Oreochromis niloticus: one gene and its partners. The protein of the gene in region 3 interacts with the protein of the main gene of each other region in a biochemical or structural test. Links are inferred from orthologs where the notes say so. Each region holds a gene or a part of one and is shown on either strand. Other genes may lie near its edges.

Evidence for each region.
Region 1: the proteins of prmt5 (region 3) and riok1 are reported together in a solved structure, tested with the Homo sapiens proteins (2 studies listed by BioGRID, with this or other methods). The link is inferred for Oreochromis niloticus from reciprocal best matches to the Homo sapiens genes PRMT5 and RIOK1.
Region 2: the proteins of prmt5 (region 3) and clns1a form a complex in vitro, tested with the Homo sapiens proteins (5 studies listed by BioGRID and IntAct, with this or other methods). The link is inferred for Oreochromis niloticus from reciprocal best matches to the Homo sapiens genes PRMT5 and CLNS1A.

The regions. Positions count from the first base shown.
Region 1 is NC_031982.2:34,661,314-34,672,622, forward strand, and holds the start of riok1 (serine/threonine-protein kinase RIO1), read left to right. Parts: upstream 1-6,743; 5' UTR 6,744-6,892; coding exon 6,893-6,945; intron 6,946-7,547; coding exon 7,548-7,719; intron 7,720-10,001; coding exon 10,002-10,104; intron 10,105-10,415; coding exon 10,416-10,485; intron 10,486-10,569; coding exon 10,570-10,612; intron 10,613-10,778; coding exon 10,779-10,871; intron 10,872-10,947; coding exon 10,948-11,060; intron 11,061-11,172; coding exon 11,173-11,253; intron 11,254-11,309. Other genes in the region: rpp40 (ribonuclease P protein subunit p40), read right to left, coding at 1,792-1,860, 2,195-2,339, 6,404-6,523. UniProt on the Homo sapiens protein: Involved in the final steps of cytoplasmic maturation of the 40S ribosomal subunit. Involved in processing of 18S-E pre-rRNA to the mature 18S rRNA. Required for the recycling of NOB1 and PNO1 from the late 40S precursor.
Region 2 is NC_031979.2:35,679,505-35,690,436, forward strand, and holds the start of clns1a (methylosome subunit pICln), read right to left. Parts: upstream 4,127-10,932; 5' UTR 3,835-4,126; coding exon 3,716-3,834; intron 2,806-3,715; coding exon 2,669-2,805; intron 2,506-2,668; coding exon 2,365-2,505; intron 2,247-2,364; coding exon 2,136-2,246; intron 1,245-2,135; coding exon 1,239-1,244; intron 445-1,238; coding exon 271-444; intron 1-270. UniProt on the Homo sapiens protein: Involved in both the assembly of spliceosomal snRNPs and the methylation of Sm proteins.
Region 3 is NC_031982.2:6,913,656-6,924,187, reverse strand, and holds the start of prmt5 (protein arginine N-methyltransferase 5), read right to left. Parts: upstream 4,919-10,532; 5' UTR 4,779-4,918; coding exon 4,681-4,778; intron 4,371-4,680; coding exon 4,252-4,370; intron 3,255-4,251; coding exon 3,169-3,254; intron 3,052-3,168; coding exon 2,917-3,051; intron 2,804-2,916; coding exon 2,691-2,803; intron 2,563-2,690; coding exon 2,513-2,562; intron 2,406-2,512; coding exon 2,242-2,405; intron 2,116-2,241; coding exon 1,954-2,115; intron 1,594-1,953; coding exon 1,516-1,593; intron 844-1,515; coding exon 785-843; intron 567-784; coding exon 444-566; intron 231-443; coding exon 55-230; intron 1-54. Other genes in the region: psmb11a (proteasome subunit beta type-11a), read left to right, coding at 6,886-7,240, 7,355-7,674; psmb5 (proteasome subunit beta type-5), read left to right, coding at 7,900-8,154. UniProt on the Homo sapiens protein: Arginine methyltransferase that can both catalyze the formation of omega-N monomethylarginine (MMA) and symmetrical dimethylarginine (sDMA), with a preference for the formation of MMA.

The DNA of each region.
Region 1 (11,309 bases), about 28 Mb from region 3:
ATTGCCCTGTACCGTCTGCCTGAGGGCAACAGTTCAAACAGGGAGTGACCAGGATGTGAGGTGTCTTTAATGATGTTTTGGGCCTTTTTAAGACAGTGGATGTTGTGTAGAACTTCCAGTGTGGGGAGTGGGCAGCCAGTGATCTTTTGGGCGGTGTTAATGATCCCTTGGAGTGCTTTCCTCTGGGCTCCTGTGCAGCTAGTGTACCAAATGCATATGCAATAGATTGGTACACTCTCGATGGTGGCTCTGTAGAAGGACACCAGCAGTCTTTGTGTGATGTTATTCCTCCTGAGAATTCTCAGGAAGTCTCTGTTGGGCCTTTTTCAGCAGCTCGGAGGTGTTCACACTCCAGGAAAGGTTCTCCTCTATATTGACTCCCAGGAAGCGGAAGCTTGCCACCCTCTCTACGCAGTCCCCATTAATGAATAGTGGTTGGATCTCTGCCTTTTTCCTTCTGAAGTCTAATATGAGTTCTTTGGTTTTTGAAGTGTTGAGGAGGAGGTTATTGGCCTTACACCATGACGTCAGCTGCTCCACCTCATCTCTGTACATAGACTCGTCACTCTTGGAAATGAGCCCCACCACGGTGGTGTCGTCTGCGAATTTCACAAAGATGTTGCTGTGGTGGCGAGGAGTGCAGTCGTGTGTGTAGAGAGAGTAGAGCAGTGGACTGAGAACACAGCCCTGGGGTGAGCCAGTGCTGAGACTCAGGGCTGAGGATGTGTGATGGCCAACTCTGACTCTCTGTCTACGGCCCGAGAGGAAGCTATAGATCCACGTGCAGGTGCTGTATGGAAGCCCCAGGTCTTGTAGCTTGGCCACCAGTTTGTGTGGGAGGATGGTGTTAAAAGCTGAGCAGTAATCCACGAAGAGCATCCGCACGTAGCTCCCATGCTCTTCCAGGTGTGTTATGGCAGCATGGAGTGCTGTGGCTACAGCGTCTTCCGTGGATCTGTTTGCTCTGTAGGCAAACTGGTGTGGGTCCAGGCTGAGGGGCAGTGCTGCTGTGATGTGTCTGCGGACCAGCTTCTCAAAGCATTTCATTACCACCAGAGAGATCTTTTATTGGCGAATCAGCATGCAGTATTTCTGTGAGAAGCTCTGTCACATATCATGGAGTCCAGCTGACTGAGGAGAAGGTCAGAGGTTCTCATCTAATCAGGATCGACTACAATTTCCTGCAGAGCTCTGCGGCTGAAAGGAGGAGGGTCTTTCATCAAACATCAAACATCTGTTCTTCTGAACCCTTACAGGGTGGCGCAATCCTGTTTGGAAGTTCATCCTGCTCCCTGACGACTCTGCAGCTTTCCTCAGCAGCTTCTCGCAGTACAGCTGTTTTAACCACAGATCCAACAAGCCAATCAGTGATTTCAAACCTTTATGGCATGACATCACATCGCTGACAGACACCGCGTGATTTAAAAACGCCAGAGCATCCCGCCTCCACGCTGGAAAACACGCCTTTGTTCCAGCTCTGCTCAGGTTCTCCTCTGGATCTTCCCGTCGCCACACAGATGTGAAAAACCTGCCGCTTCGGTCTGATGTCACTTCCTGTAACACTCCGCCTTCGCAGACAGACATTTACGAATGTAAAGACAAAGTTTGTCGTTTTCTCGGAGGAACCGTTTCTGCGACGTCTCTGAACGAGGAGCATGTGTCCGGGTGAGCGCGCCCACTGTCTCAGTTTCCTGTTTCGCCCCGCACCGTGACGATGACCATGATGTTCATTGTTAATGGGAATGTTGGAAATAAAGGTTAGTTTACAAAAAAAGAAAAAAGAAATGTTACCGTTTGGCATCAGTGCGACGCAGTTATCTTCATCGATGCGAGTCCTGTAGGACAGACCGAACACTGCACCTGAAACACAGACAGTCACAGCAGGGGGACAGGTGAGGGCGTGTGTGTGTGAGTCTGTTGCTATGGGTAACTAATGTCAGGCTGGAGCTGAGTCATTGGATATAAATTAAAGTTCAGAGCTGAAACTCAAAGTCGTCACGATAACTTTGTGACGATGACGTGATTCATATTCCTGCTCCTCTGGGTTAACATGGAGCCCGTGCTCTTTATTCACCCGTTGCCATGGCGAAATTATGGAACTAACTCCGATCAGCTGTTTGGGAACCTTAGAGGTTTCTTTTAAAACTTTGTTCCTGGAATGGAGCTCAGGTGTGTGTGCGCACAGGTGTGTTACCGTGGTACACGGCCGTCTCCAGGAAGTGTCGGTCCAGCAGCTCATACACCGGCAGCTTCTTGATCAGGTAGAAGCTGCTGAAGTTGTTCAACACAGAGTCCAGGTGAGAGGGGGCGGAGCTACACTCAGGAAGCAGCACAGACACCTGCACAGTTGAAACAGCTGATTAGGGCTGCTCAATTAATCGAATTTTAATCTCGATTACGATCTGGGTTTTCAACGATCATTAAAAATGACTGAGCCGATTATTAGCACCTCCCTCGTGCTTTACTCTCGTGCTGCTCCGTGTGGCAAATCGAGCGCACCTCTCTGCGTTTCGAACACGCGTCACAACAGTGAAGAGGACCCGAGGGAAGCTCGGAAAGCTAAGCAGAAGTTATTTGGAGAGGAGAGGATAATGGCTGCTGAAGAAAGAATGCCGTTGGTTGAAAAGAGGTAAAACGACTTCAGTGGTGTGGAAACCAATGTTCCCTCTAAGCTGCGCACGTGCGCAATTGCGCACTGCTGGCACGGTCTCTGCGCACAGAAAATCTGCGTTGCGCACAAAAAAAATCTAACCCGAATTGAAATTAATATTAAAACTTTAACAATTCTGTTTTGCAGTGTTAGTCAGTGAGTGACTGGCTGCTCCTGTATGGGATTAGAACGATGCCACCTTATCCTATAGTCCAGCCAATAATGCGATTCACATTCGTATATACGCAGCCAATCAACGTCGCTGACAGGCTATGACAGCGTCCTTATGTGCCGACACCGGTGTTTTAGCTAGCAAAGCGGCGTGGCTGATGTGCAGTGAAGCCACGTTAATGACAACGTGTACAACCATTGGAGATGTGAGCAGGGCTGGACTGGGACAAAAAATTAGCCCGGGCATTTTGACTAGAGACCGGCCCACCAGGTATTATGGGAAAAACTAGAGAGCCTTTGAATGAAAACAAACGTCGTTGTGACAGTGATGTACACTGTCTTGTTGGTATATATGTATCAATCTAGAACTTAAACCTACACCATCCTCCCTATTCTGGTATTCTAAACAGTACTTAGCCGAAACCCAAAGACTGCTTGGTTTACCTCCTGAACTTTCTACAACATATGGTGGAAACTTGAAATTAAGACAGAGAAGCCTAGAGGTGAGACATGACCATTACTGAATATTAAAAATAATAAATGACAGATTTAGTGATATTTTCATAAACTATTTATTTACCACATCAATAAACAGCATGGCAGGGCAAAATATTTTTGTAACATGGCAACCTTTAAAAAGTGAAAGGAGACAGAAAGAAAGGTGAGAAAGAATAAAACTTCCTCACTCAAAACTTACCATCAAAACTTAATTTTGATGGTATTTTACACACAGTACTGGTACAGTATCTAGAAAATGTGGGAAAATACTGGCATCATATACAGTACTTACTTCTGAAGAAATTATGTTGGGACCCTGAAAAAAATTACTATGTACAATAATGGATTTCTATACATTTGACATCAGATGAAAACTTTGGTTGTATGACTCAGATAATTATTTGTTAAAAGCTAGAAATTTCAAATGAGAATAAGAAAGAAACGTATTTTTTGTGCCCCCCTTTCCCTGTTAATGCCCTACCTGGCCCCCTGGCAAAACTTTGCTAGACCCGCCCCTGCACAGTTACCAGCTGTCAGCTAGAAAAGGATCCTGGTGTTATTTGTCTCCCAGAAACAGTTCATAACTTCCCTTCAACCCTTCATCCCTCCAGCAAACATCAGCTGATACTAGAAATTAATATTAAATAAATTCTAACAACAGCTCATCAAGTTTAAAGGTGCTTCTGTTGTTTAACGCGACCTCCGCTGGTTTGCTCTTTCTGACGCAGAGAGAAAAGCCGATCAGCTGATCATTGATCATTGATCAGCTGATCGGGACAAATCGCGTTGCTTTTCACCTCAACTTTAAAGTTCGACCTCCTCGGCTGTAATTGGTCCAGCCCAGAGTCGATCATGACCAACTGGCCAATACACCACTATTCATTTATACCGTTGAAAAAATAAAAGAAATAAAACCCCATCGGCCCATAAAAACGAAAAATCACGAGCGGCCCACCGGGAAAATGCCCGGTATGTATGGGCTCAAAATGTGGTCATAAATATTTTGTACTTGTAAATCAGTTTTGTATGTGTAAAAAGAATTTGTGCGTGCGTAAAAAAGATTTGTATGTGCAAAAAAGATTTGTTTGTGTGTAAAAAAGATTTGTATGTGTAAAAAGAATTTGTGCGTGCGTAAAAAAGATTTGTATGTGTAAAAAAGATTTGTGTGTGGACTTAGCCAAAAACCCCCCTGCAAGTTACAAGTACGAATTTTGACCCTATTTTTCTTCCTGTCATCTGATTGGTCAATGTCATGTCAATCACAAATGTAACAATCCAATCAGAGAACAGATGGGTTTGGCTGTCGGAGGGGCACTTTTTTGAACTGCAGGTCCTTGAAGGGTAATACAGTTTGAAGCTGGAGGATCTCTATATAAATATCCGATAGCAGCTAGGTCCCCTAACTTTCAGCAGCTGTTGAAAGGATAAAGTTGTGGTATGTCAGTGGTTAGAAATACCATTATTACTTTAGGATTAGTTTAACACAAAGTCAGGGCTGACCCGGGACCATTGCTGTGAGTCACAGTGCGCAGCATAAAGGTCCTTTCACATCGGACGCAGGATGTGCTGCTAATGCTAACTGCTAACTAAAAGCAAAGGATCCAGAATTTGTTGCGCTGGCTGCTGAGCTCTGTGGGTTTTTGCAGCAGCTCTACCTGTACTAGATGCACCTGCTCCTTGTCGTTTCTGTCTCTGACTTTATGTCCTCTACAAGAGTTTGGTTTTTTTGCTAGTTCTTCAAATGTTCAATAAAAACATGTATGCTAATTCATAACGAAGAAAGCTTTGTAATGAAGACTGTCATTTCCAAAACACTGCCCCCCCGGTCCGCAGCGCTGTTGAAAAGGCTGTGGAAGTCCCTGTATAAAGCACGTAGACCTGTGACACAAAAATCACCAAACTCGGATGACCACAGACTGTTTTCCTTTGTGGTGATGAAGGAAAACGCTGGGTTGGCATGTAAAAGGGCATTTATTCCCTTCAAGGACCTGCAGTTCAAAAAAGTGCCCCTCCGACAGCCAAACCCATCTGTTCTCTGATTGGATTGTTACATTTGTGATTGACATGACATTGACCAATCAGATGACAGGAAGAAAAATAGGGTCAAAATTCGTACTTGTAACTTGCAGGGGGGTTTTTGGCTAAGTCCACACACAAATTCTTTTTACACACACAAATCTTTTTTACACATACAAATCTTTTTTTACACACGCACAAATCTTTTTTACGCACGCACAAATTCTTTTTACACATACAAAACTGATTTACAAGTACAAAATATTTATGACCACATTTTGAGCCCATAGGTATGCCCGATGGCCAGTCCAGCTATGGATGTGAGCAGGACAGACGGAACAATTGACGGACAAAGTGTGGACTTTATACCAGTTTTTAAATTGTGTTGATCGGCCACGTAAAACCAGAGTTATGATAAAAATATCTGCAATGTTTGGTTTTCTTCCTGAATACTATCGTTGTTTATATTTACTGCCGGAAGAAACGGTAAAAACGGCGTTTTATAAGGAAAACGCTCGAAAGCACTCTCAGCCTGTGAGCAAAAACAAAACCAAAAAACCCCCCACCCTTTCCTATTAGTCGAAAAAAGTACCGTGTCGACCAATCAAAAAAATGATATGGCAACGTGGCATCTAGTTGTTAAGAAACGGGGGGAAGTTTTAGGAGTGACGGCGGTGTTCTGAGATGTGAAAGATTTGAGAGGTTTGACCTCTCAGAGCAGCTCCCACGGGTGCTGGGTGGGGTTGAGGTCAGGACTGCAGATCCATACTCTCCACTCCCAAATCCTGAAGTTAGTCTCTGGTAAAGCCGCTCTGTGGGGGCGACTGCTGACTCACCTCTGAACACGCAATCCTTCCACCTCAATGCTCTGAACGGTCATCCACAGAACCACTCGCACACTGAGCCCTGCTGCTCCACCCGCATACTCAGCACTGCTCCACTCGTGACTGCTCTCCTTGCACTCGATCAAACACGACTTTAAATTTACATGAAGCCGTCCGTGAGCCCGACGCTGTGAAGCTAACGGCTCGGAGGTGAAAGGTCAGAGGTGAAGGGTGAGAGCGTCACCTGGTGGTTGAAGTGCAACTGCTGCACCTGCGCGCTGATCCGGTTCTTCGGGTCCAAGAAGCTGGAGCTCTCCGACACCAACAGAGTCCGCGGAGTCCGGTCCAGCTCCGAGGACGTCATCTTCTTCGGCTGCGAGCTAACTACACGTGTTTCCGGCCGCGGCTTTTCAGTTTAAAAGCTCCCGGTAGCGAACCGGAAGTGTTCGTTGTTTTTATTTTGGAGGATATTCCGGCTGTTGGGTGAATGGGGCGTTTGTGTGTGTGTGTGTGTGTGTGTGTGTGTGTGTGTGTGAGAGAGAGAGAGAGAGAGAGAGAGAGAGAGAGAGACGGATCGGTGGATGTGATGTGACGTCATCCTCCGACCCGCGCCGCTCTCCGTAGTCACGTGGTCGAACCCGGAAGTGGAGCAAACACGAGGAGCGGCGCAGCACAATCGGTCTCGAAGGTTCAGCGCTTACCTGTGTTTACCTGTGTGAGAGGCTTTGACGTCATGGCGGAGCCGGCGTGTGTACCTGGGCAGTTTGATGACGCGGAGGAGGACAGGTGAGTTCGTTCGTTTGTTTTGATGCTGCGGTGTAAACAGTGAGGCTGTACCTGGCTAAATCACCATGGTAACAGGTCACCTAAGGCCTGCACTCCATAGCAGGATTCAGTCTTGTCCAGGTAACCTCAGGTGTAACCTGGGTTTCTGTGCTGTGAAGCAGCAGCTGATGCTTTCATGTGTGAGCTTTTCTGTCATGTTTACTGACGTCACCTTACACACACACACACACACACTCTCAGTGTAAGTCTCCATGGCCGTGCTGTCGGTGTTTCAGTCCCATACACAAACCAGCCTCTCGCCATCAGGGCTTCTTGTTTCAGGTCAGGTAAAATTCAGCTCATCATATTTACTACATAAATACAATCAGCAGGCTTCAGGCCACAAGAACAGAACCACGACTTTAACCCACAGAGGAGCTCTGATAGCTCCACAGAGGGGACCAGTTCACAGCTCAGGCCTCTGCCCTCCTGACCATCGGGGCACCAGGGCTGCCTCCTCCCTTATCATTACATCTTGTTTGCTGTATGAGTAACTTTCACAGAGATTTCAGCAGCTCTGACTGTGTTTTTGTTGTTTGTTCTTTTGTTTTTTTGTTCTGCAGTGTCAGGTCAGTGGAGCTGACTCGCATCAGTGATGCACTGCCTTCATCAGAGCAGCAGGATTTCAGTGAGGAGGAGGATGTGGATGATGAGGATGAGTGGGCCTGGAGCTCAGCAGCAGATCTGGCCAAAAGATACAACCAGGCAGCGGGTGGCTTGCAGGTGAGACAGGAAGTGAGTAGAGGTCAAAGAACCAACAGAGTCTTCCAGGTCTAAAAGATGGAAGGATGGATGATGTATGTGTTGAACACCTGATTATGCAACAGAGGAGCTAACAGAGGGACTAACAGAGGAGCTTACAGAGGGACTAACAGAGGAGCTTACAGAGGGACTAACAGAGGAGCTAACAGAGGGACTAACAGAGGAGCTTACAGAGGGACTAACAGAGGAGCTAACAGAGGGACTAACAGAGGAGCTAACAGAGGGACTAACAGAGGAGCTAACCGAGGGGCTAACAGAGGAGGTAACAGAGGAGCCAACAGAGGGGCTAACAGAGGAGATAACAGAGGGACTAACAGAGGAGCTTACAGAGGGACTAACAGAGGAGCTTACAGAGGGACTAACAGAGGAGTTTACAGAGGGACTAACAGAGGAGCTAACCGAGGGGCTAACAGAGGAGGTAACAGAGGAGCCAACAGAGGGGCTAACAGAGGAGATAACAGAGGGACTAACAGAGGAGCTAACAGAGGGACTAACAGAGGAGCTAACAGAGGGACTAACAGAGGAGCTAACCGAGGGGCTAACAGAGGAGGTAACAGAGGAGCCAACAGAGGGCTAACAGAGGAGATAACAGAGGGACTAACAGAGGAGCTTACAGAGGGACTAACAGAGGAGCTTACAGAGGGACTAACAGAGGAGCTTACAGAGGGACTAACAGAGGAGCTAACCGAGGGGCTAACAGAGGAGGTAACAGAGGAGCCAACAGAGGGGCTAACAGAGGAGATAACAGAGGGACTAACAGAGGAGCTAACAGAGGGACTAACAGAGGAGCTTACAGAGGGACTAACAGAGGAGCTTACAGAGGGACTAACAGAGGAGCTTACAGAGGGACTAACAGAGGAGCTTACAGAGGGACTAACAGAGGAGCTTACAGAGGGACTAACAGAGGAGCTAACCGAGGGGCTAACAGAGGAGGTAACAGAGGAGCCAACAGGGGGGCTAACAGAGGAGATAACAGGGGGGCTAACAGAGGAGGTAACAGAGGGACTAACAGGGGGGCTAACAGAGGAGATAACAGGGGGGCTAACAGAGGAGCTAACAGAGGAGATAACAGGGGGGCTAACAGAGGAGATAACAGGGGGGCTAACAGAGGAGCTAACAGAGGAGATAACAGAGGAGGTAACACAGAGACTAACAGAGGAGGTAACAGAAGGGCTAACGGAGGAGATGAGTAGTTCTTTGGAGGACTATTTCTGTGGAAAGCTAACTGAACCTTGTGCTACATTAACATAATTATAAAATGATAGATAGATGGGAATACAAACTTTAGTCTATCTTTGTTTATTCTAATTGTTCTCAGCTTGAATCAGAATAAAAAGCATAGAAATAAAAACAAGTCTCTATTTCCTGTTGCCTCCATTGTAGAAGGTGACTTTGTCTCCAAACAGGAACGTGTACAGTCAGAGGTTAACGTGGATTCAGCAGGTGGAGGAACCTTTAAATCAGCTGTAATGTCTGAGTGTGGGGAAAAGACTCAGTCATTTCCACTGAGAGCTCCAGTAGAGTTTCTTAGTGTGCAGGCTGTGATCAGCTGACCTGCTGCTCTCTGTGGATGTACACACCTGGATTCATCCAGATGTGAGCAGATGTAAAACTCATATTCTTGAGTCATATTTCTTTCCATTTTAATTCATTACTTAAACATTCAATTAATTATTTAATGGGCTATTTAATTGTTTTTGGTACTCCTGGCCCTCCATACACTTGCTGTAAGCTAACTGTGAGCATGAACCCACAGCCACTGTGCAGCAGTCACAGACTCTACTGTAAACCAATCACAGTGCAGCAAACTCACCTGTTCATCCTGCAGAGGATTCTCATGCAGCCTTTAAATAACACAGTCAGTCTGCCTCAGTTTGATTAGCAGCAGGTTTATGAACAAACACAATGTGACAGATTTAAAACCATGAGGACTTCCATGTGAGCTTTAAATGAGCGTCCTTCCTTTAACTCTAAGCTGTCTTCTTCCTCTCCTGTCCTTCCTTCTTATCTGTCTCCATCTCTGAGTGAACTTAGCTCTCTGTCTTTCTCTCTGTCAAATACAGCAGCTGAACCTTTAGCTGCAACACACTGAGACAAACTGCACAGTTTGTGTTTGCTGATGTTTGTTGAGCTGATAAGTGTCAGCTAATAGAAATGAGCTGACAGCATTGCTCCTCTTCTGTAGTGCTAGCTTGATGCCGAAGAGTGTGTGTGTGAGAGAGAGACGTTATAAACTGAGTCATTTTTGTGCACAGAGTCTCCGTCTGCAGTCCAACAGACAGAATCCGTCCAAGAAGCTGCCATCATCAACACCATCTGACAAAGCTTTGAGGAAATATGAACACAAGATCAACCTGGGTACCCCACACACACACACACACACACACACACACACAGCTTTTTAGTTTCGTGAAGCTCTTAAACGACATCGATGTGACGTTTCATCCGCCTTTCAGAACGACCTGTCTGCTTACAGCTGATTGCCAGTATTGATCATATTGATCATATTGATTGATCACCTGCACCCAACGGCCTGCTATAAGCCGCTGTGGAGGTCTGGAGCCATTGAAGCATCCTCCAGTCTGCGTCTCTGGTCCAACGTTGGTGTAGGCTTTTTAGTTATGATCAGGAATCGATTGCAGTGATTGATCGTCTTTGTTTTCTGGCAGACAAACTGAACTACGCAGACTCGGTGATTAATAAAGTGACGACGATGCAGAAACAGAGGGAAGCCGACACGTGAGTCTGAGAGCAGCTGATGATGCTGACATCAGCCGGGGTGTTCCTGCTGTGACTCACATCCTGATTGGCTTCTCTCCACAGGTACAGAGTGAAGGACAAATCAGATCGAGCCACAGTAGAACAGGTGAGTTCCTGTAGCGGCTCTGGCCTACAATCTAGAGCACCTTAAGGCGACTGTTGTTGTGATGTGACGCTTCCACTTTTACTGAGTTCTTTAGGAAAGAACTGCCAGGAGGTTAAAGATAATAAGGTGAAGATCAATAAGCAGCTGATGCTTTCTTCTTCTTCAGGTGTTAGACCCTCGAACTCGAATGATTCTCTTTAAGATGCTGAGTCGAGGAATTATCTCCGAGATCAACGGCTGCATCAGCACCGGGAAGGAGGTCAGACCATTCAGTAATCGCTCGATCAATACGCTGAATGGTTACACATGCGCTGATCAATACTCGTCCCTCTCAGGCAAACGTTTATCACGCCAGCACAGCAGCTGGGGACAGCAGAGCCATCAAGATCTACAAGACGTCCATCCTGCTGTTCAAAGACCGCGACAAGTACGTCAGCGGGGAGTTCAGGTGAGTCCGGCACCACAGAAGAACAGCGCTCAGGTACACCGCGAGCACTTCCTGTTGGCTCCAGGTACAGCAGGAGGCTCCTTCAGGAACAGTTTGTCCTGTTGTTCTGCAGGTTCCGTCATGGGTACTGTAAAGGAAACCCCCGGAAGATGGTGAGAACATGGGCAGAGAAGGAGATGAGGAACCTCATCAGGTCAGAACCTTTGTAACCACACCCAGAACCAAACAGAACTGGTTCTGACTGGTAGA
Region 2 (10,932 bases), on a different chromosome or scaffold from region 3:
CAAAACACTAATGCTTCAAAGTTCAGATAGCAATGGATGACAGGCTGCATGCCGATCAACCATCTCCTCCTCCACCTTCCTGATACACATCAGAGCAACGTTGAACATGAGTTGACCTTTTTTGTATCTACGGTGTCATTTTGTTTAGTTTTAGTCTGGAAACTTTTGTAATTGTGTCCCTCACATCTGTCTCATCGTGCTCCGTGTGTCATATCATTACTTACAAAACTAAAACACAAAGAGCGACAGGTCGAGGTTTATGTGACTGACCTTCAAACTCGGCTTTTGTTTCTTCCGTCCGGACTCCAGCCATGTGGTACTGCTGAGCGACTGACTGAGCCAGCATCCCCTCTAGCCTCTCCAGCGTGGCCTGACCCTCCTGCGTTAGTGCCGACAGGCCCTCGTCGCAGGTGTAGAAGGTCGGGATGTCAGCGTGACCGTGCTCTAAGCAGGTGGAGGAGAGAGATGGTGACGCAGCAGCAACAATTTAAAGACAAATTCTACCTGTGTGTTTTTGCTGTAACATGATAAAGGTGTTGAAAGCTTTTACGCACACAGAATATAGCTCCCAGACTGATATCTAACAACGACTCATGAATTCTTTCTACTGTTTCTTTGGTTGTTGGAAGAAACAGTGGCATCTCCAGTCTGCCCTGTAAGTCTGACATCATTAGCCGTTCCATCTAAAGATGATGCACCATGTTCTGAGGGATTTCTGAAAAACTCTGCTGTCACTTCACACATAGACGAACACAGAGAACTAAACAGCTGTGTACCCATTCAAATCAATGTTAGTCTCAGAGTGACTCTTTTCTGACAACATCAAATATCTGGTGTCTGGCAAACCTGAGCCGCTGGGCTGTAGTTACACCACATGGTTTTAAAAACTGAGCTTTAAAATGTGCTGCAGATGAATAGTGGTAATAAAAACCCAGAGAGACAGGCAGTGATCACTGACTAATTTTAAGGACTTGTTCAGATTAAATGACACCTTAAAAAGACAACAGCAGTTTGGACCTGGATGCAGGGTTCACGCATCATCACTTAACAACAGGATAGCACAATCCCCTCACTCTTATTTTGAAAGTTCAGCTGCTGATAACCATCTATTCTCAGTCCTGCTGCTTCTTCAGTGACATATTTACAAAGAGTAGTGTTTAATTCCACCTGTCCAAACTGCACTGCCATAAACATCAGTTACTCTGCTCAGCAAGGTGTTTCATCTCATTTAAACTTACCAGCCTCTGCAAGCAAACAGTCCGAGTCATCAGTCCGTGAAGGGGAAAGAGAAAAGACAGAAGGAGAAAAATGAAAAGACTTTTACATTCAGACAAAAGAAGTATTTTATCAAATGTTCTTTACAGTAAACTATTTAAACTGGAACTATTTGGTAATCCTTATTTTCTGTCATATATGCAGCTACAATGGTGCGTGCTCAGAGTAAAACAGCCACCATAACAAATCACGAGGTCACCATACTAACAAGTAATCATTATGAGCTTTTAAGCGCTTATTAATGAGGATTGGTTTATAACCTGGATCTGTCTAATCTCAAACATGGGGACATCCATAATGTGGCTAGCCAGACCGTCTCTTTGCAAGACAAAGCTAATCAACAACAATTTCCCTTGTGGGATTAATAAAGTATCCATCCATCCATCCATCAGAAGGAAGCTAAAGGAGTGGAGCTCCTCTGGAGGGTGGAGCTAAAGGAGATAAACGGGAGGAGTTTGTGTCAGACAAAGGAGGATCGAGGATGAACTGGTGCTGTCGGAAGGAGGAATACAGTAAATATGAAATGTGTTTAAAGATAATTCAGTGTCCAAGAATAAAAATTTAGGTTGGAAATGAGCAGAACAGATCAACTTTACAAGAACAGCCATTGGTGATGTAAGAAAATCACTTCAATAGAAATACAATTAGACACAAAGCCAATTCTATTCTGTATTCACAAATACAATAAAATGCTTAAAAAGAAAACTCAGTTTTTTTCTGGAAAGATTTTCTGTTTCTGTTTTGTGTTTCTGAATTAATTTGAGGATTTAGATCACTGTTTGTTGGAATGTGGGGAGCTGTTGTCTTCTTTGTGTCTGCTAAAGACAAATCTGCATCTATGCATTTGAGTTTTGCCTCACCGGCTTCCTCCACGTCGTACTCCTCTCCTTCAAAGTCGTTGTCCGAGTCGTCATCCTCGGGATCGGGGTGAAGCGCCTGGCACTCGCACATGGCTGAGAACATGGACTCCACTGCAAGTAAAGCACACAAAGGTATAAGTGTGATGCTGCGCCATCTCCAACTGTTGTTTATACAGGATGTGCAGCCATGTTGAAATGTCTGCTGCTCATCCCCAGCGAGGTCACTCACATGCCGCTTTGTCGCTGGGAACAAATCGAATCTCTGTGATCGTCCCTTCGTCTTCATCATCGTCACCACCATCACTGCTGCCGTCATGATCATCATCATCATCATCAGCTGCTTTCTCTGCCATTTCTGCCTCGTTCTCTTCTGTAAGGAGAAGTCAGCAGTGACCCAAAAACTCCTTCAGAAACTGTAAAGAAACTATTTGTACAGAACAGGTCAAACACGCTTTAACAACCCCGAAGACTGGACTCCCCCTGCCTAAACAAGTAAAAAGAGATATGAAGTTCAGATGTAAACTTCGCCTCACTGTTGAGTTTGCCGTTGACCATGACGTAGAGGTGTTCCTGTGGGTAAGCGCTGACGTCTCTGGAGATGGCGTGCAGTCCGATGGAGGGATACTCCAGAGAGAAACCCAGGCCTGAGCTGTCAAACCACGACAGGCGCCTGATAAAAGGAAAACAAACTGCTTTAAACAACAGCACTAAACAACTTTTAGATGCTTTTAAATGTCTGTCAGGCTTATTATCTGACTTTTCTGGCAACGACTAATTACGGTCTCAACTGACTATTAATTTATCAAATGATATTTTCAAAAATGTTAAAAAATTCCAACTAAATTACTTTAACGTTGTTTGCTTCTACTTCCTGAAAGTAAAAAAATATGTAATGAGACAGTATGTAATTGTAATGCAACAGCGTGGGTCTGTGAGAAATATAACACAGCTGTAAAATCTGAATTTACGCACACAATGTTTCCTTCCCAGTTTATTGCTGTTTTGCGCTTATCCAAAAATTTTTACTAGCTTAAGAAAAATAAATAAGAAATTAAATTAAGAATTGAATAACTGAAATAATATAACAACACGAAGAAGAAAAAGAACGCAAAGACAATGTAAAAAGGAAAGAAATACAATGATAGCACAGAAACAAATTCCAAAAAAATACAAATAAAAAATACATTTATTTAAAAATAAACATGAAAGAAAGGAAAAAAGAAACCCGCCTTTTAACATTACCGAGAGTCTAAGGTATACAAAAACAGACACAAAATATATCATGTTTACGGAGAGGTACAAGAAAAAAATGTAATATAAATAATAAGTAAACATATTTCTAATACTGGATTCAAAAGAAGACATCCACATTTTGTTCTGCAACGTATTATTTTGAAAGACTGTGCTCCGGAAGTGATTTCAGCGCACGGAGCAGACGTTTATTTTTGTGTCTATAATGTAAACTGGTGTAATTTCCAATAAAGGGCGCGTGAAAGCCCGATAAGAACCTCAATAAACACGAGCCTGAACCCCAGACCCACGAGCCAAAGAGCAAAGCATGCGCCACGTGCACCACTTACGTTTCTGCGACGTAGAGGGTGCCGCAGCCGAGCCGCTGGCCGTCCATCACCGCCGTGGTCTCGGCTTGTTCGTGTCTCACTCCCTCGGTGGGAGGTTGGAGGTTTTTCAGTAACACCATAGTCCTCGGTCCGCTGGGACGGGAAAGAACAGAAACCGGTGAAAACGCGCTGCTGCGTGATAAATTTTGTACTGGCTAAAGATGGCTAATTTCACCCGGGGTAACTTCTCAGTGCTAAATCAGTGTCGGACAGCTGGAGGCGAGAAAACGGCAGCCGTGCTATAACGCTTCGTCCCTTGGATTAGCAGATCCGGGACGGAAATCTTTGAGTGCGAGAACAGGCGTGACAAAAACTGAAAACACTGGAGTTACAAAGTGCTGGTTCAGGGTGACGTCACGCTGAAGTATCGCGACAACACAAAACTCCCAACGAGAATTCACACACTCCAGATTGGCAGTTTGAAAAGCTGCCGCGAGATGGAGCTGCTCCCTAATCTTTTATTCCTAAAGATGTGGAAACATAAATTCTTACATTATTTACAAAAAAAAGAGTAAAAAATAAACATTCTAACAAAGACTGAGCATATAGACAGTACAAACACGATTTTTTAAATAAACAAGCACAAATCAACAAAGTAAAAATAAATGATTATCTGTATAAAAAAAGAAAGGACATATTGAGTAAACACCACTGACTTTATAAGATTTTTTTTCTTTCCTTTTTTCACTTGTTGGTAAAGACATTAACTTAAGGGTTTCCTCACTGGTTACAAATTTGAGTGACTAACTGAGGAGGTTCAGTAACTGATTTAAACACTGCCTTAATAAAAAAAGAATCATTAATATTCAAAATAGTAACTCATTACGTTTGGATTACACTCCAATTACACTGGTCCACATAAGAAGCTGCTTAGCAAATATAATGTGCATTTTACAGCTGATTAGTCATTTGACATCAAAGCTTCAGAGCTCTGAAAGATCTCATTTTCACCAAGATTTGAATCCCAGGATCATCTTCAACCTGAGAGTCAAAACTATTTTATAATATACTGAAATTTTTCATGATTCATTTGTGTGTTCACATTTAACGTTTTTGTTCTGTTGGTATTTTTGTCAATTGAGAGAGTGGAGAACAAAAATATTACAAATAAGTTTGATCCTCATTATATCGGTTTCTTGAAAAATTGTTTGGAAACAGAATAAAGACAGAGTTTGTAAGGACTATAAGGTTTACAAGCACTGAGGCAGTTATGCAATTTTCTAATCTTGCCTCAGAACACACACACACACTGATTACTCATTTGACATCGAAGTTTGGGAGCTCTGATCCGGTTAATTAAATCCTGCAGTGAAATATGGGGATTGTGTGTTTATTAAAATTAAAAATCATCATGGAATCATTGATAGAAGAGCATCAACATTCAGCCTGTTAAATTAGATTTTGATATTTTTATTAATGGCCATAATTGGCCATTTTTGGCTACTTTTGATTTTACTTTTGTATTTCATCACCTTTAAATTGTTTTTACATTTTTTATTCTTGCCTTGCCTTGTTTGGTATCAACCTTTTCAGCACAATCTCACATGTCTGAATTTATTGGCATACTGTATTAACACAACTGATCTGAAATCACACAAAAACATAAAAAATGAGTAGAAAAAGGCTGTCATTGTTTTTGGTTTTGTAATGTAAAAACCACAAACATATCTACAGAATTATTTTCACAGCTTGAAATGCAAAAATGAATTGTAAATTTAAAAAAAAACAAAAAAAAACCTAGGCACAAATGTTATAAACAATAAAGTTCATACAACTATTTACCTAAAAATGTTGTCAATGCCTCAGGTGTTTTTTGAACAACCACTTGAAAAACTACTAAAATTAAAATGAGAGAACAAAGGAGCTGTAATCTGATGGAAAAATATAAATTATATTTAGAGATGAAACAGAAGTCTGAACAAGTAACACTGAAGCAAACAGTAAATGAAACATGAAAGTTGTACAAATATCAGATTTTACCTTCACATCTGCTTTTGAGCTTAGAGTATGAGGACGTTTTTATCAATGGTTGCCTTTTTCCATTTATTTATTTAATTAATAATTTACTTTAATTAATAATTGGTTTAAATTAAAATGAAAGAATGTTTTCCAGGAATACTTTTAGTGCAGTGAAAAATGTCTGAAAAGTCAAGCTGACTGTAAAGTTTGGTCTATTTGACATTTTCAGTTTTTGTGAAGAAAGCGCCACCTCTTGGTGCCACTCTGTAACTGAATGAAAGGGGAGTGTAGAAAGCCCAAACACCCCAGGAGGAGGAACGGCCAACAGGTGGAAACTGGCTGGCAGTTCGCTGGTAGCTATCTGGGGGTGGTCATTCTATGTGGGCGTACCTGTACACTGAGATGCACAGACGACTGGGGTAGTGTACAGGAACATCTGTGTCACATGTCGATTACAAGTCCTCAACTCCAGCTGTGCTTCACTGTTGGAGGTGGTAGAGAACAACTGGACTTAGATCCTGTGGGACACACATCAGCCTCCCAGGGGTGTGAGGGGAAGATAAATGTGATATCCAGTTTGTTGTTTCTCATCTCTCTCCTCAAACCAGGAGAGAACTAATCAGATTAACAATCGCTTTAGAGTAACAACTTCTTTAAGGTCCTGAACCCAGATCGGTGACATCATGGAGCCATGATCCTTGGTGTTCTTGCTCTGGCGAGGATAAGAAAGGACAAAAGTGATGTTAAATCCATTGGCACAAGCCACACGTTAGTCTTATTTCGGTATCAGTGAACCTCTGAATGTTTTGCTGTTTGCCACTGTGTCAAAAACACCTTAGCAGTGTATATAAATGCACGTGGCTGTTATGATGTTATTGCTGGTGTGTGAAGCGACCAGTGCAGTGGGTGTAATGGTTCTCTTAGCCTGAACTGTTTTTGGTGACTGTAGAAATTGGAGCTCCTTAAGAAAACATCCAAACCCCTCACAGAGTTCTGACCAGGTTTGATCCCAGGATCCTCTTACTGTGAGACCACAGAGCTACCCACTAAGGACAATAACACCTAGACCCTAATGATTTACATAGCACTTACGAATTGGAGAAAATGTTTAAATTATGAAAAAAATTAGATTTCTTGAGTTTTTCTGAGTTTGAGAGAGTACAAAGATTAGTGTGACAGTTTCAATGAGACTATCTGGAACAAGTTAAAAACATTTCCTTCTAAATTCTCAGTATTCACTTATCAGCATTCAGTGTGTCAGATGTAATCTTTTACTGTTCATGTGACTTTCTGAGAATGTATGAAAAGTGATTGGCTCTCCCGCAATGTTCTTGTTTTGAACACCCACAGCAGGACTGAGGCCACGATTACAGTTCCACCTCAACTTTTATCCTAAAATCAGTCAGGCTCGTGCTTCACTGTAAATGTTTTTCACTGATTGATGTTGGTGATATTATGTGATCGACAGTGCATTTTATTTTCATGTCCTTCATCCTTCTTTTATCTGCATGATTTACACTAACTTATCAGTGCACATTAAAGAAAAGCAGGACGACATTCCTTAAAACCTTTCGTTTGATCATTTCTCAAAAATAAGATGAAATGAACAAAGTCAGACTGACATTTCCCTCTGAAACAATCACCATATTAATAAATGATATAACAGCTCTGTAACATGTTTCACTCTACATCAGAGACATGTTAAAGCGTGTTGGCTGCATATTAACTCAAAATCCTGATTATTTGCTTGAAAATAAAGTTTGGGAGCTCTGATCCAGTTTATTAAATCCTGCACTGAAATATGAGGATTGTGTGTTTATTAAAATTAAAAATCATCATGGAGTCATTGACAGAAGAGCATCAACATTCAGCCTGTTAAATTAGATTTTGATATTTTTATTTCAGAAATGATTCCTAACAAAAATGGAGAATATAAAAACACAGTGAAAGCAGTAAAGTCCATATTATGAAGTGTTTGCTGTATCAGACAATCATGTTTCCAGTCTGCTGCATCACAACAATTTGAAATGCAAATATAAATGATTCACAACAATGAAAACAATATAGTGCAGATAAACATGGTGCTGTAATGAATCTGCTCTTAAACACAATAACAAAATACATTTTCCAAGAGAGATGATAATGATTCACATCAGAGTGAAGAACGAATACATTTACAACTGGTTTCTAACATTTATTATAGATCGAACTGATCACTGATAGAAACAGAAGAATATTCACAATGATACTCTGAGAGATACATGAATGACATATGGATAAAAAACAAATCACATGAAACAAAAAAGCACATAATCATTCTAGGTGAAATAAAAATGAGTACAAAAAAATAAGAATTAAGTCGAAAAATTAAAAAGGCAAAATGTTTAAAATATATAATCAGATAAGAGAGCGAGCTGTCCAGTCAGGTCACAGATTCATATCTACAATAATACTTTTGTTTGTTTTTGTTTTTGTTTTTGTTTCATCAATCCTAGGTCCCTGTATTAATATTAACACTATTATGATTACTTATAATAATAATGTTGTTATCATTATTACCATTATAAATGCTGATAAGCATATTAAGTGTGTGTCTGAGCTGAAAGCCGCTCTCCTCTCCTGGTTTTCTGTATCACACAGACCACAACAACACAAAGCATCACCTGCAGACCGCTGAGCAGTATCCACCTGACTCTGTAGAAGGTCGAGTAAACCCCAAAGGGCTCTCTGTGGATCAGAACTGTTTTTTCTGCTGACACACACTCAATCTCTGACTCTAAAACTGTACACCAATACTCTCCTGCATCTTCCAGTGAGACATTAGACATTATCAGGCTGTCGTTGGAAAGAAGGATTCTGATTTGATTTTCAATAATCTCAGTAAATTCAATGATTTTACCTTCTCTTTTTATCGATTTCATAAACCACCAGGGCTTCATACCCAGTTTTCTTTCAGTAGTACATGTGAGATTGACATCATCTCCCTCTGAGAAGACCTCTACTGCAGGTGGACCAAATTTGGGGCACACCAAAAGTTTATACCATTGTTTTATGGTTTGACCTCCACAGGTGTACCAACCTGAATCATTTAACATTAGCAATGGAAGCACCAGCGAGTAGTTTTGACCGACTTCTTCATAAGTCTTCGAGCCCATTTCCCACTTCCTCCAAACCGGGTGTGGGTCATGAATGAAGGGACACTGCAGCACAGCTGTGTCTCCCACTGAGCCATGGACTATCTTTGCTGCTTTGGTCAAACGTACTGAGTGAGTGCTCACACACTGCTGTTGGTTCATCACCAGGCAGATGTACAATGTTTGTAATGTGTTGAAGACATGAAGAAGTGATGCGTTTTTCACCTCCAGGAAACTTTCTTTTAATCTGTCCACCTTCAAAGCTGTGCCATCATCTAAAACTGTTAGCTGTAAGTCTTTGTCATACGTAAAGTCATGTTTGATCCACTTCACCGTCAGATCCTCACCTGCTCCCTCACATCGTACATCCACTATGGCTTTGTGTGTTACATTACGCGTTGTTTCCTTACTTACTTTCCTGCACACAGTCAGGCTGATGTTTCTCTCATATGTCACGTTGCCCTGAGTCCAGCACACATCTTGGTACAGTCCAGAGTCTGAGTGGGTCAGGCTGTTGAGAGTAAATGAAGGAGAACCATGAAATGTCTCAGGAAATGAGAGTCGTCCTGTCAGGTCTTCATGTACTGTGACGTTTCTGTTCCAGGGGTCAGAGATGTTCCACAGGACCAGAGTATCTTCACCAACACGTCTGGAGGTGATGCAGGAGCTGTTTTGATCTGGGAGCTTGAATTCAAGAGAGCCTCCTTCTTCAATAGTGAGGATAAATTCTTCTGCATGAATGTTGCTGATGAGAGTGAACAGCAGGGAGAAGCAGAGCTGTGTGACTGCAGCCATCCTGCTCAGAGGTCTCCTGGTGAGTGTCGTACAAACACTGACACTGCTCGCTTCTTGAGCGTCCTGTTTGTGGTTGGAGGAGGAACGCCACTTCTTTATCACATCATCAAATTTATTCATGAAACATTTGACTGGTTATCCAGTGGTCTGTCTGCTTATTTTGATATTTTGTAGCTGGATGGCAATATAAGATATATATCTCGATATTTTTTTTAAAACCATAAAGTAAGAACAAAAAGAGAGTTCTTAGTCAAAGCTGTGTCCCAGATGCCACACAGGCACTTTTATTAACATACAGCAGAGATGTACATGAAAAAAACTACTCAAAAATAAATTATGAGCATTTATTAAATAATGATGCTCTATAAATAAAAGAAAACTATGTTGTTTTGTGCATAACAAAGAGCTCACAATTGTGCAGTCAAAATGTAAACTAAAAGACGCTGAGCATAATAACATAGACAGATTTCACAGCTGCTCTGTTCCCATCTTCTACTGCGTGACTGACAGCCTGGAGTTTGAAATCTGCTTCGTAACCATGTCTCTGAACAGGTGCCATTTATGGTCCTTATACACACACAATACGGTAATATTACATTGAAGCACAGTACGTATCACTCCGCGAGGCTCCTCGGTAGCCGTAATGCTCCGACAATCCATCAAGCGGTGCAGCTCCGTAGCTTACCAAAGTCGAACTAAAACATTTTTTGACAGATTGCTGAGCGCTGTGTATCACATAAAATCGGTTCGCCGTCATCAAGCACAACCAGAATTCATACAAAAGGCGCGCAGTCAACTTTTGAGAAGATGAAAGGATTTCAGGCCGTGCATGGCATTAGCGTGGCTAGCTCGTTAGCATGGTTAGCTCGTTAACACGTTGACGTCCAGCTCTATGGCAAGCCATTAGTGCCAAAATTCGCCACTTTTCTAACCCGTTTGGTTAAGAAATGGCGTAAAAAACGCCATTTAATTATTCAAAACGCCGTAAAAAACGCCGTTTTTATGCATCTTTGAACGGCGTTTTCTGCCGAGTGGCGGAAAAAACGGCGTTTCCGTCTGTCTTTGAACACCGCTTTTTACTTCACTCGGATGGTGCGTTCAGGGCGCCATGTGAGAGTGGGAAAAAACGGCGTTTGTTGAAACAGAACGCCGTTTTTTTCGGCGTTTTGAATAATTAAACGGCGTTTTTTACGCCATTTCTTAACCAAACGGGTTAGAAAAGTGGCGAATTTTGGCACTAATGGCTTGACATACAGCCCCACGCACGGGGCGATGCGAAGTAACTCATTA
Region 3 (10,532 bases):
TGACTCTGCAGTGTCTACATGTGTAATTAAGTCTTCATTAAAATCCTGAAATACCTTTGAGAAAATGCTGTGCTCCATCTAAGCACTCTGGGGAGAGTTCATTGTCGCCAAATGATCCGAGCAGCTCGCTGACAATGATGTCAGCTTTCTCTGGTGCGGCCCACTCCCGCATGTCACATGACACCACCGTCACCTGATCCCCCCACTCCTCAAAGCGCCAATTCTCTAGCCTAGAGAACACACATCAATAAAATAAGCGTTGAAAGTTTCAGGCTTCACTTCAATCCCCTCCTGACTTACTATAAATTCAGCTAGAATCAAAGGCCAAGCTTTTATCCAATCTATAGACTCATTCAGGTAGCACAATTGATCTGTTGCATGTGGTAATATTTTTGCTTGTACACTGTGAAACATGGAACATTTGAAAGCATTATTTTACTCACGTCACTACAGCATTGGGATTTTTCTCCACAGCATACACCCTCAGTCTCCTGTCTGCCTGCCTGGCAGCACGCAGGGATGCATTGACCAGAGGACCCCTACCTGCTCCCAACACCATCAACACCCTGTGGAAAAAACACATCATTATTTTAGACAAGGCTGCTACCCTGGTGGCTACCACTGAAGTTTAAACAGTCAGTGTGTGTTATCCTGTTCTACTTCCAGTGAGACTTATAGGAGTATATTATAAAGTGCCATGATACTGTATGAATCAATATCTGGATATAGTTCCTACTCCACAATCTCATTTGTGACTCTTTATACAATAATTTTAGATACTTACTGAACATTAGTGTCCTTTTGCTCCTCTGGAACTCTGTCTAGCAAACATTTATATACAGCCTGCACACGCAAAGAAAAAAACAAAAACAAAACAGGTGTTAAATACATTTTGCCTCAAACTCTTAGAGACCATTTAAACCCCTTTGCTAACACTAAACACCTGAATGTCAGTGTTTTTCAAATGCTACACGAGTGACAGTCTGTTTTGTGTGGATAAGCTCTACATACACAGACACAATAACTATGCGTATCTTCACATTCAGGCTGAACAGAGGCCGATGCAAATGATAATGATTAGGGGCAACAGTGTGGTGCGGTGGTGAACACAGTTGCTTCACAGTAAGAATGTTCTGGCTCCAAGTCCACTGGCTGGATCAGGGCTTTCCAAGAAAATGGACAGATGGATAATAATTACAAGCTCATAGGTAAAAAGCAACTGACCAATATTGAAAACTGATACCATCCACTAAGGAAACATGAGCCAGGAACTGAATTTTCAAAATAAGTGCAAAGGGATTGTCCACTAATAAAATGAATCACAGCTAGCCGTGTTCTCTGTGATGGATAAAAACAAATGCACTCGCATCAACATATCTGAACAGTCTGCCCAAGTAAAGTCTGTGTAGGGGAAACAGATTTTACTGCATTTGTATGTCTACTGGACAAGCAAAGACCTCTCTGTAACATCTGTGCCATGCCTCCTCATACCCAAAAAATGTCTGACTGTCTTACTTGTTGGTACTGTGAATACTTAATAGGATCCTTCTCGAACACTTCGTATGTCTGAGACTCCAAGTTGTCCATCAGAGGCTAAACAAAGAAAGCAAAACATGATGTTAAAAGGTCCTGATTAGCAGGTAAAAACAAAACAACAGCCTCACAGTTTTACAATTCTACCAACCAGTGAAACTGCAGTTTCCATTCGTATCTCTTAAGAGAAACCTTTTGAGTATGCCATCAATTCATTACTTTATATTATTAGACATGTGTACAATATGTCACAATTAATTCTTGACTTAAAATGTATATTTTGCAAGGTCAGTACTTTTGACCATAAAAATCTAATCTGATGTTCCTTCAGTGATCCAACCAGAAATAACTATACATCTAGCTATGGCTTCCAGTTGCACAGAGGCATAAAAACGTGAGCATGAAAGTGTACTTCCTCACCTGTAGAGGTGACTGCAGGTAGTCTTCATAACCCTTAGCAAAGAGCTCGTAGGCATTGGGTGCAGGCCTGTTCTGGTTGAGGTACTCCAGGTACTGCAGGTAGGATCGGAAGTCCTTGTCAGTGTGCCGACTGGTGCCTGTGAAGATGAACTGGGCCTCCAACTATAAAAGAAGATCATTTTAATTTAAAGATTTTTTTTTCACAAGTAGACAAAAACCAACCTTTTTGTATTTGACTGCAGATTGAGTTCTGTTAAAATCAAACAATCTATGAATGTTAGTTTATACCTTGAAGAGTCGAAAGATTACTCTCTGATGGGCTTTCGACAAAACAGGGAAGCCCTTCTTATTGGTTAGGAAGATGCTGGTGGGGAGAATGGCTGCTTTGATAGGTTCTCCGAGCCATTTATCAATCACAGTGTCTGATGGCATATCTGGTCCAATTTCAACCGCTTTAGGAATACAAACGAAGCACAATCTCAGTAACAGACAGGAGCATAATTATTTCTCAATGCCCAAAGGTTGCCCCAGGTTGCTGCTTCAAAGTGTGTTCTCTCACCAAGACAGATCCTCTTGTTGTAGTCACAAAGGGTTCTGAATGAGTTCCACCTATGAAAAAAAAAAAAGATGAGGTAAGTAAACAAAGACAGACACCGTTTTAAAGGAAATCAATAGTAACCGTTTCAGCATGCAGACGGCACTCAGTTGCTCAGGAAGTGCTGTGGCATGAAACTAACCAGCTCCAAGTCTTCTCATCAATGCTTGTGTCATCAGTACAAGAGATCGGTTCATTCTCAATCAGATCTTCCCGCATGTCCTCTGACGCCATCAGCGGGACGCGTATCCAGAACTAATCAACAAAGAGGACAGCAGCGGTTAAACGAGGACTTCTACTGTCTGACTTTTCTGCCATCTTAACGCAGTCTGTGTGTGCTTGTCGATTCCTGATGTGCTGCGTCTTACATTTGAGGTGTGATGTCCAGTGTGGATGTGATTTAGCAGCACTCGGGCTAGATTGGCATTACTGGGGCCCTTCAGAGGGATCATGAAGACAGGCAGGCCCAGGTAGGCAGAAAAGTTTAGCTCCTGGGTAAGAGCCTGGAGAGGAACATGGGAAAATAGGTAAGATAAGCATTAAAGAGATGACATGATAACCTCACTCATATCACAAGATCAAAGAACCCTCACAAGCACCATCAAACTCAAAGAACTTACAGCCTCTGAGTTTCTGCGTTCTGTCTCGATTTCTGAATCTGCATCGATCCACGGAGAGAGCTTCCCAACAATTAGAGTATTCCAATCTAGACAGAACAAAAGGACGTTTTAGAGAAAGCATCAAACACCTAATCACTTTACCTTTATGCTAAAATCACATCTTTCTTATGATAGAATATTTAATACAAAATATGAAAATGATTAGAATTAGTGTCTTAACATCTACTTTCCTTCTTAGGCTGGGCTTTAGCAGAACAAATGGCATTTTTAGGATTGGTCTTTCAGCACAACCTACTTTCTGATGAAATTTGGTTTGCAGGCAGATGTCCTGACATAAAGACTTCATTGCTCCATTAATGTTGGCAAACTACCCTGCTTCAGATGCAGCAAAACAGGCCCTGACCATGATACTACCACCACGTTTTTATGCTTTAACTCTGTGTTTTCCTTACTCCCAACAGAGTTTTTAAAACTTAAACTAGCAAGTTCTATTCTGGTCTCAGAAGCCCACACAAGATTGTTCAAATGCTCAGTATTCTTTTTGCAGAGTAGTAGCTCTCTTTTTAGTACCCTGCTATAAACAACACGTTGTTCAGTGGCTGTGGAGCAGAGGAAACCAAACTCTGTAGATATGATTCTGTAACCCTTTCCATCCCGTTGAACATCAGCAGTTCTTTCCTGAAACTTTCTAAAACCTCATTTATGCCATGACACACTTACACAAACATATGTTGTCAAACTTTGATAAATTTATGTTCTATGAATAAAAACTAATTTACTGAGAATTGTAAAGGTTGCAGTGGTTTTGGTTTAACAGACCTAATAAGAAGTTAATTTTCCACTTTTAGGACTGTGAAAACTGACTATGCTGAAATATATTTAATATTACATTTAAATATAATTTAAAGTGACCTTGACGCCCCCCCCACCCAATAAATAAAGGGCACCAGTAGACCCCACCATGCCCCAAAATGCCCTGCACAGCATAACACACTCACTGTTTCCTCTCACTTTAGGGGGACTGATGATTTAATGGCTAGTAATGCCTCAGACTGCAGAAGACAAAAGGGCAGGAAAACTGACCTCTGCCACATAACAGCAGGTCGGACCGGGTCTGGGCTCCAGGTCGGGATTTAGCGGGCTCCAGCTCATATTCCCTCCTGAACCTCGGGTGGAAGAGAGGCATGCACAGGAAGTCGAACCTGGATAGCAGAGGAGGGAAGCACGTTAGTTAACATTCAAAATATTTATAATATCAACACGAAGTGAAACACAAACCTGTTTTCTAAGTAATCCTCCACACACCTTAAATATACTACGGGAGTAGAGCCTGTGTAGTGCACACTTCACTACAGTGTCAAGCATCGTTGTGATTTGGGCACGTGCTGGTAATTCACCGGCTAGCTTAGCAACCATCACGCACTGAGAACGTGCTAGCAAAGCAGCGCGTTCTGCTCATAAGCTCATTTCGGCCAAACAAAAATTACATGTAGAATCGAAAAACCATCTTACCCAAGTTTGGCGACCGCGGCTAACGTGTCGGCTATCTCTGGCACACAATTCAAATCTCTCCCGCAGGACACCCTGCTCCCTGTGCTGGCAGACGCCATGACTTTAGCCGACTGAATGAATTGATTTCTCGGACTTTCACATTGCTCTGCCTTTCGAAGAAACTGGCGCCATCTTGGCTCCTAAGGAATGCAATGCTTGCTGGCTAACAAACGTGAGACAGAACCAAGATGGCTTAATGAGTGCACAAGTTGCATATCGCGTACATTGTCGCGATAATTGTGTACCGAGCGTTGTTTAAACGTTGCCATTTGATGTTTCACGGCGACTTCTTTTTCTAAGACGAACGCGCTTGCTGTACTTTGATAGAGAAAATAAATGAAATAATGATTGAAACCAGATTTGAGAAATAAAAACCCAGCAAGCCCTTTCTCCACTGTACAAATACAAAAAAATATTTACTACTAGCTGATAATGGGGACAATTTTTTAATTTTTATTTTTAATTATATTTAATTGTATGTTTTTTGTTTTTTTTTAATATACAGATTAAAACGTATTGTTTTGTGCTGCCTGTCTGTTAGTCTTTTAAATGTGCTGACAGCCTCCCGCAGCTCGCTGCACTCTACAGTACACGGACGTCTTGTTTCTGCACACATTGTTAACTATTGTATAGTTTAACGAACATTGACCAGAAATGATTTAGATAGACTTTTTTTAGACCCACTCCTTTAACCACAGAACCATTAAAATACCACAAACACACTTCACTACACATAAAACTGGTTTATTTGTCAATTTGTTCATAAATAATTAAAATTAAAAAATAATTTTTCAGCAGAAAATTCAGTGTTATGTGAAATAACATTACTGCTGAAGATGTTTTAGCCTCAGATGATTTTAAAAATGTCATGCTCTGTTTAATCACAGCAAAAAATCCTGGCACAACTTCACCTGCTTCCAAGGTGCATGGAGAAGATGAGAGAATTAAAAAACAGGAACTCCAGCAACACTTGAGGAAAGAAGAACAACTTTAATAATTGACCAACGCGTTTTGGCTTGTGGCCTTCATCAGGGTCATAGTAAAACACGTTGGTCAATTATTAAAGTTGTTCTTCTTTCCTCAAGTGTTGCTGGAGTTCCTGTTTTTTTAATGCTCTGTTTAATCTACAGTAATCTGGGATATTCTATAAAATTATGCTTGTAGTTGCTGCTGGCCAAGGTGGTCAGTAAGGCAAAAACTTGTCTGTTATGATGATATATCACAGAAGCTCCTCTATTTGCCAATTCTGGCTGTGTTTTCACATGCGAACACAACCAGAAAACGCTGCAGGCCTCTGACACTGACATATGTGTGAAATGGAAACACCTACAGTTTCCATTGGGATCCAGGCAGGCGTGCTTTGTGTGGAAAGTACAATAGCCAGTTGCAGCCTACCAATGACAGTGTTGTAAAGGATGGATGAAAACAAGCGACAAAGTTTTATGACAGAATGCTGTTTCAGATGAAAGACGAAAGATCACTTTCACTTTGGTACGTTTTGATTGATTTCTATTTATAGATTCAGCTACAGCACCGCTTGCTTTGCTTGTCCTTACTGAACTTCACTTGTAGGACTTGCAGAAACTGGCTTCTGCGGGTATCAAATTCACAGCATGTAGGCTAAAATATCACTTACATAAACCATAAATGGTTTTGGATATGGAACACGGCGTGTGTATATGTGTGTGTATTTCTACCAGCTGTCACACCTGCAAGAGCTATAAAAGCGCAAGAACTCAGAAGCAGATGAGAAAGAGTAGCAGCATCCGCCCTCTACAAACCAGACCTGTTTCTTTGACACTTAAGATTGTGTTTGATCAGCTTTTCAGTGGATAGACTGTGTTTGAGAACAACTTTTATTTACTTTTCAACAGAAAAGATGTTCTGATTTTGTGATCAAGTATCTGTGTCTACACCATCATGGCTTTGGAAGATGTTTGCAGCTTCAAAGAAAGGTCGGTGCAACATAAATGGTTTTCTTTTTCATCCCTGGGGGATGCAGCAATTCCATTTCCTATGAGTGACCATTACAACCTAAGATACTCAAGACTGGAAACATCTGAAAACAACTGTGGAGTACCACTGCATTTTTTTATACCACCTCTTCCACATTCCTCCTCTTTCATTAAAAGGCCGTTGTCATCCTTCTGCCCACCCAAAAATTCAATGACAGTCCAGAGGCCTTTCCGTTTGGCTCATGGAACAACAACCCTGGGTTTCATCTTCCAAGGTGGGGTAATAGCAGCGGCAGACACACGTGCCAGTGCCGGGGGGCTTGTTGCCTGTCCGGCTGTTCATAAGATCACCCCTATTCACTCTCATCTAGTGGTCACATCCTCTGGTAGTGGTGCAGATTGCATGCTGTGGGAGCGAATTCTGATTAGAGAGATCAGACTGTACCAGTTACGGCATGGACATCGCCTTTCAATACGTGCCACAGCTAAGCTCCTTTCATCTATGCTTCATCCTTTTAAAGGTACTGAAATGTGTGTTGCTCTTACGCTGTGTGGTTGGGATAAGCAAGAGGGTGCCACTGACTGTGCAACAAGTTTGGAAGACTCATCCTGGATGACTGATGATAGCTCCTTGGCTGTTTTTAGTAACCAAAACATTACTGCAACAACTTCTCCTAACAGCGGTCCAAAGCTTATATATGTGTGCAGTGACGGAGCCCGACTGCAGGGAGATGTCTTCTCTGTGGGCTCAGGCTCACCTTATGCTTATGGAGTCTTGGACAGAGAGCTGAGGTGGAGCCTGAGTAAAGGAGAAGCCATCTCATTGGCAAGAGAAGCAGTGTTCAGGGCCACTCACAGGGATGCCTACTCGGGGAACAATGTGGACCTTTTCCACATCACAGCCCAAGGATGGAGCCAGAGAAAGAGAGAGGACTTGAAAGAAGAATATTACAGAGATAAAGAAAAGAAGGGAAAGAAAAAGAATGACAAACTCAAATAATACTCAATAATCAAAAGCATTTATGTGTGGGAGGAATTATGTTGTTATATTTATCATTGAAAAGTAAATTTAATAATTATAATAATAATAATAATAATAATAGCTGTGTAATAAAAGGTATTTCCTTTACCTCATGCTTTTTTTTAACCAATACTCCGCCACAGACACAGGGGGCGCTGTGTGATTTTGTTACCATGACAGAATAAAAAAAAACTACCGCGGCGGATGTTGCTTGTTCATCATACATTTTCAAAGATGGCTCTTGCTAGTGTGTTGAGCGGTGATTCTGCGGATTTTTCGTTTGATAGTAGCCAGTCCTTTGCTTTTGGTGGTGGACCCGGACCTAGTGGTCTGGGGTTAGAAGGCACGCCCGGGGACAGCCTCAGTTTTTCCGTTAAAAACCCGCTGTGTGTCGGAGACGATGATGGCGTCGAAAGGAAAATAGAGTTTCTGCATGGAACCACTACCTTAGCATTCAAAGTAAGTTAACGGTCCAGTTATTGTAGTTATATGGTATAAGAAACCCCACAAGCAGTTGTATAGCTGTCGAAACTAGACGTTTGATCAATTTTGACTTTACATATCATACGCTAGTGTTTCCGGCACAAATTGTCTCTGATGTTAGCATGCTAGCGTGGCTACAAATCGCTTTCTCATGACAGATGTGCATGGTACAAGGGATAGGTGATGTGCACTTAAGTAAACGTAAAAAAAGTAATCTCTCTAATATGTTTACTATGTCTAGTCTTAAGAGAAATCGTGAATTACGTAGGCTTACGTTGACGTTCCTCAGTCAATTTAAAAGCAAAATGTGGGTGTTTTAATAACATAGTCACGTGAATTTATATAATTGGAAATCTGACGTGTTCTTCCGTAAAAAGTGCAGCAGGTACACACTTTTTGATGGTTACAACTTAAAAGAGCTACCTAAACGTGTGTTATTTCCAAAGTGATTTGTGCTGAGTATGTAAATGTATTGCATCCATAGGAGAGCCTAACCGATACAGGATATTTGGGCTGATAATATACATTTTTAAGGGTTTTAAAAGAAACTCGTGCCTTTTATATACTTGAAATATGTTCAGTTATATACTGAAAAGGCAAAATGGATGAAAATAATACTAATCGCCTACCACCTCTTCAACTTGAACCCCAACTTTTTTGTGTAGCGTGTTGTAAACAACAGAAGCAGCCCCAGGTGTTGGGGAAAGTACACGGAGAGACCACTTCTCACTTATCTCAAGTATCGTTTTATATATTTTGCTCCGAGGAACGTGCACATATCGACAAATATATTAAAATAAAAATGTAGTTGACCTGTCTAAAAAAATTGTAATTGATACTGGCCAACTATTTATTCATCTAAAATAATTTACTATCAAAAGAATATTACATCATTGCTACCTTTTTGTTAACACAATTTGCAACAAATTTCTGTCAATATTAATACATGAATGAAAGTCCATATAGCGTTACATCACATCATGTTTGAGGTTAAAATGTGATGATCTTTCATTATTATGTCATTACTATGTTCAGTGACATTGCAGTAGGAAGGAGAAAAGCACAAAGGTCCTTTAATAAGATTCCTGTTAATTGTATTCAGATGTATACATGTATAATGTGTTGAATGAATTAAAGTCACACTTTCTGTGTCTTCTTTTTAACTGTGAGTTCTCCATACCTGCTTTTCTAAATGTTATTGTTAAAACAAACATGAAGTTTTGTTGGAAGAAGACGTTAAAGTGTATTCGATTAGTCGTGACTGTGATGCGCACAGTAAAAACAAAATTGCGTGCTCATGAAAAGAAGCCAAGAAATCTGTAGAAAGTGGAAAAGTTCTTTTTGATGTTGTGGGAACATAGATCAAAGTAGAAAATCTAAAAGGGGGAAAAAATAAATCTTGATTTCTAGAAAGTTTAAGGCTTGCTGCTGGGTTTTTTTTTTTGTTTTTTTTTTTGTGCTGTAAAGATTTAAGCAGTGTCCCTGAGGATACATTTATTTGTAATTAACAATCCTTCGTTAAAGCACCAAGATTCCATTGACAGGCTTATAAACTGGCATATACAATTGGCGATGCATAAATATATTCTGCCTCTGTGCTGTAGAAACCCCTGATTGAAAACATTTAAAACAGCATGAAAGAGCCTTGCTGTTGATTTGTCATCACAATTGAAAGCAGCCATTGTAGTCTTCTCCCTCAGTTTGTCAAACGCTGTAGAGCAGTGTAAATACAGAACCATATCCCTGCTGCTGGCTTTTGTCTCTTCAGGGGATTTGTTGATACAAGTAAAAGATAAAAATAACGCCATCCTTATCCCTTAATCCCTTAATGAAAACATCCCCCACAGACATCTCCCTCTGACTGGCCAAATCTGTTGTCTACTATACTTGCTTCTGTGACTGTCAGTTCACTGATAGAGGATTTTGGAAGGAAGAGCAAAAGTCTTTCCTCTTATCCAGCAGCTTTCTGCTAGAGCCGAACCATATATTGCACCTCTCTGACAGCTGTAGAGCAGCAGCTCTTTTTTTGCCTCATTTAGGCAGAACTGCTGCAAGCGATCTCTTACTTAAATTTAGAGCAAGTGACTCTATTCTGTTAAAAGCAATGGATGTAGGGGAGAGCATTAAAATGTATTATGCACTGGTAAGTAGTGTAGCTGTTTAAGAGAGAGGGGCACTGATTGCGAAGTTCTGGGCCACTGCTAATGTTTAAAATGACAATTTGGCAGCGAGCCAGTGCCAGTTGATTTTAACTGTTAGACCCGACAGATTGATCGATCACTGACATCGGTAAATGCCATCTTTGTGTCTTTTCTTAATCAATGTACTGATATTAATCTATATATCTAGTACTT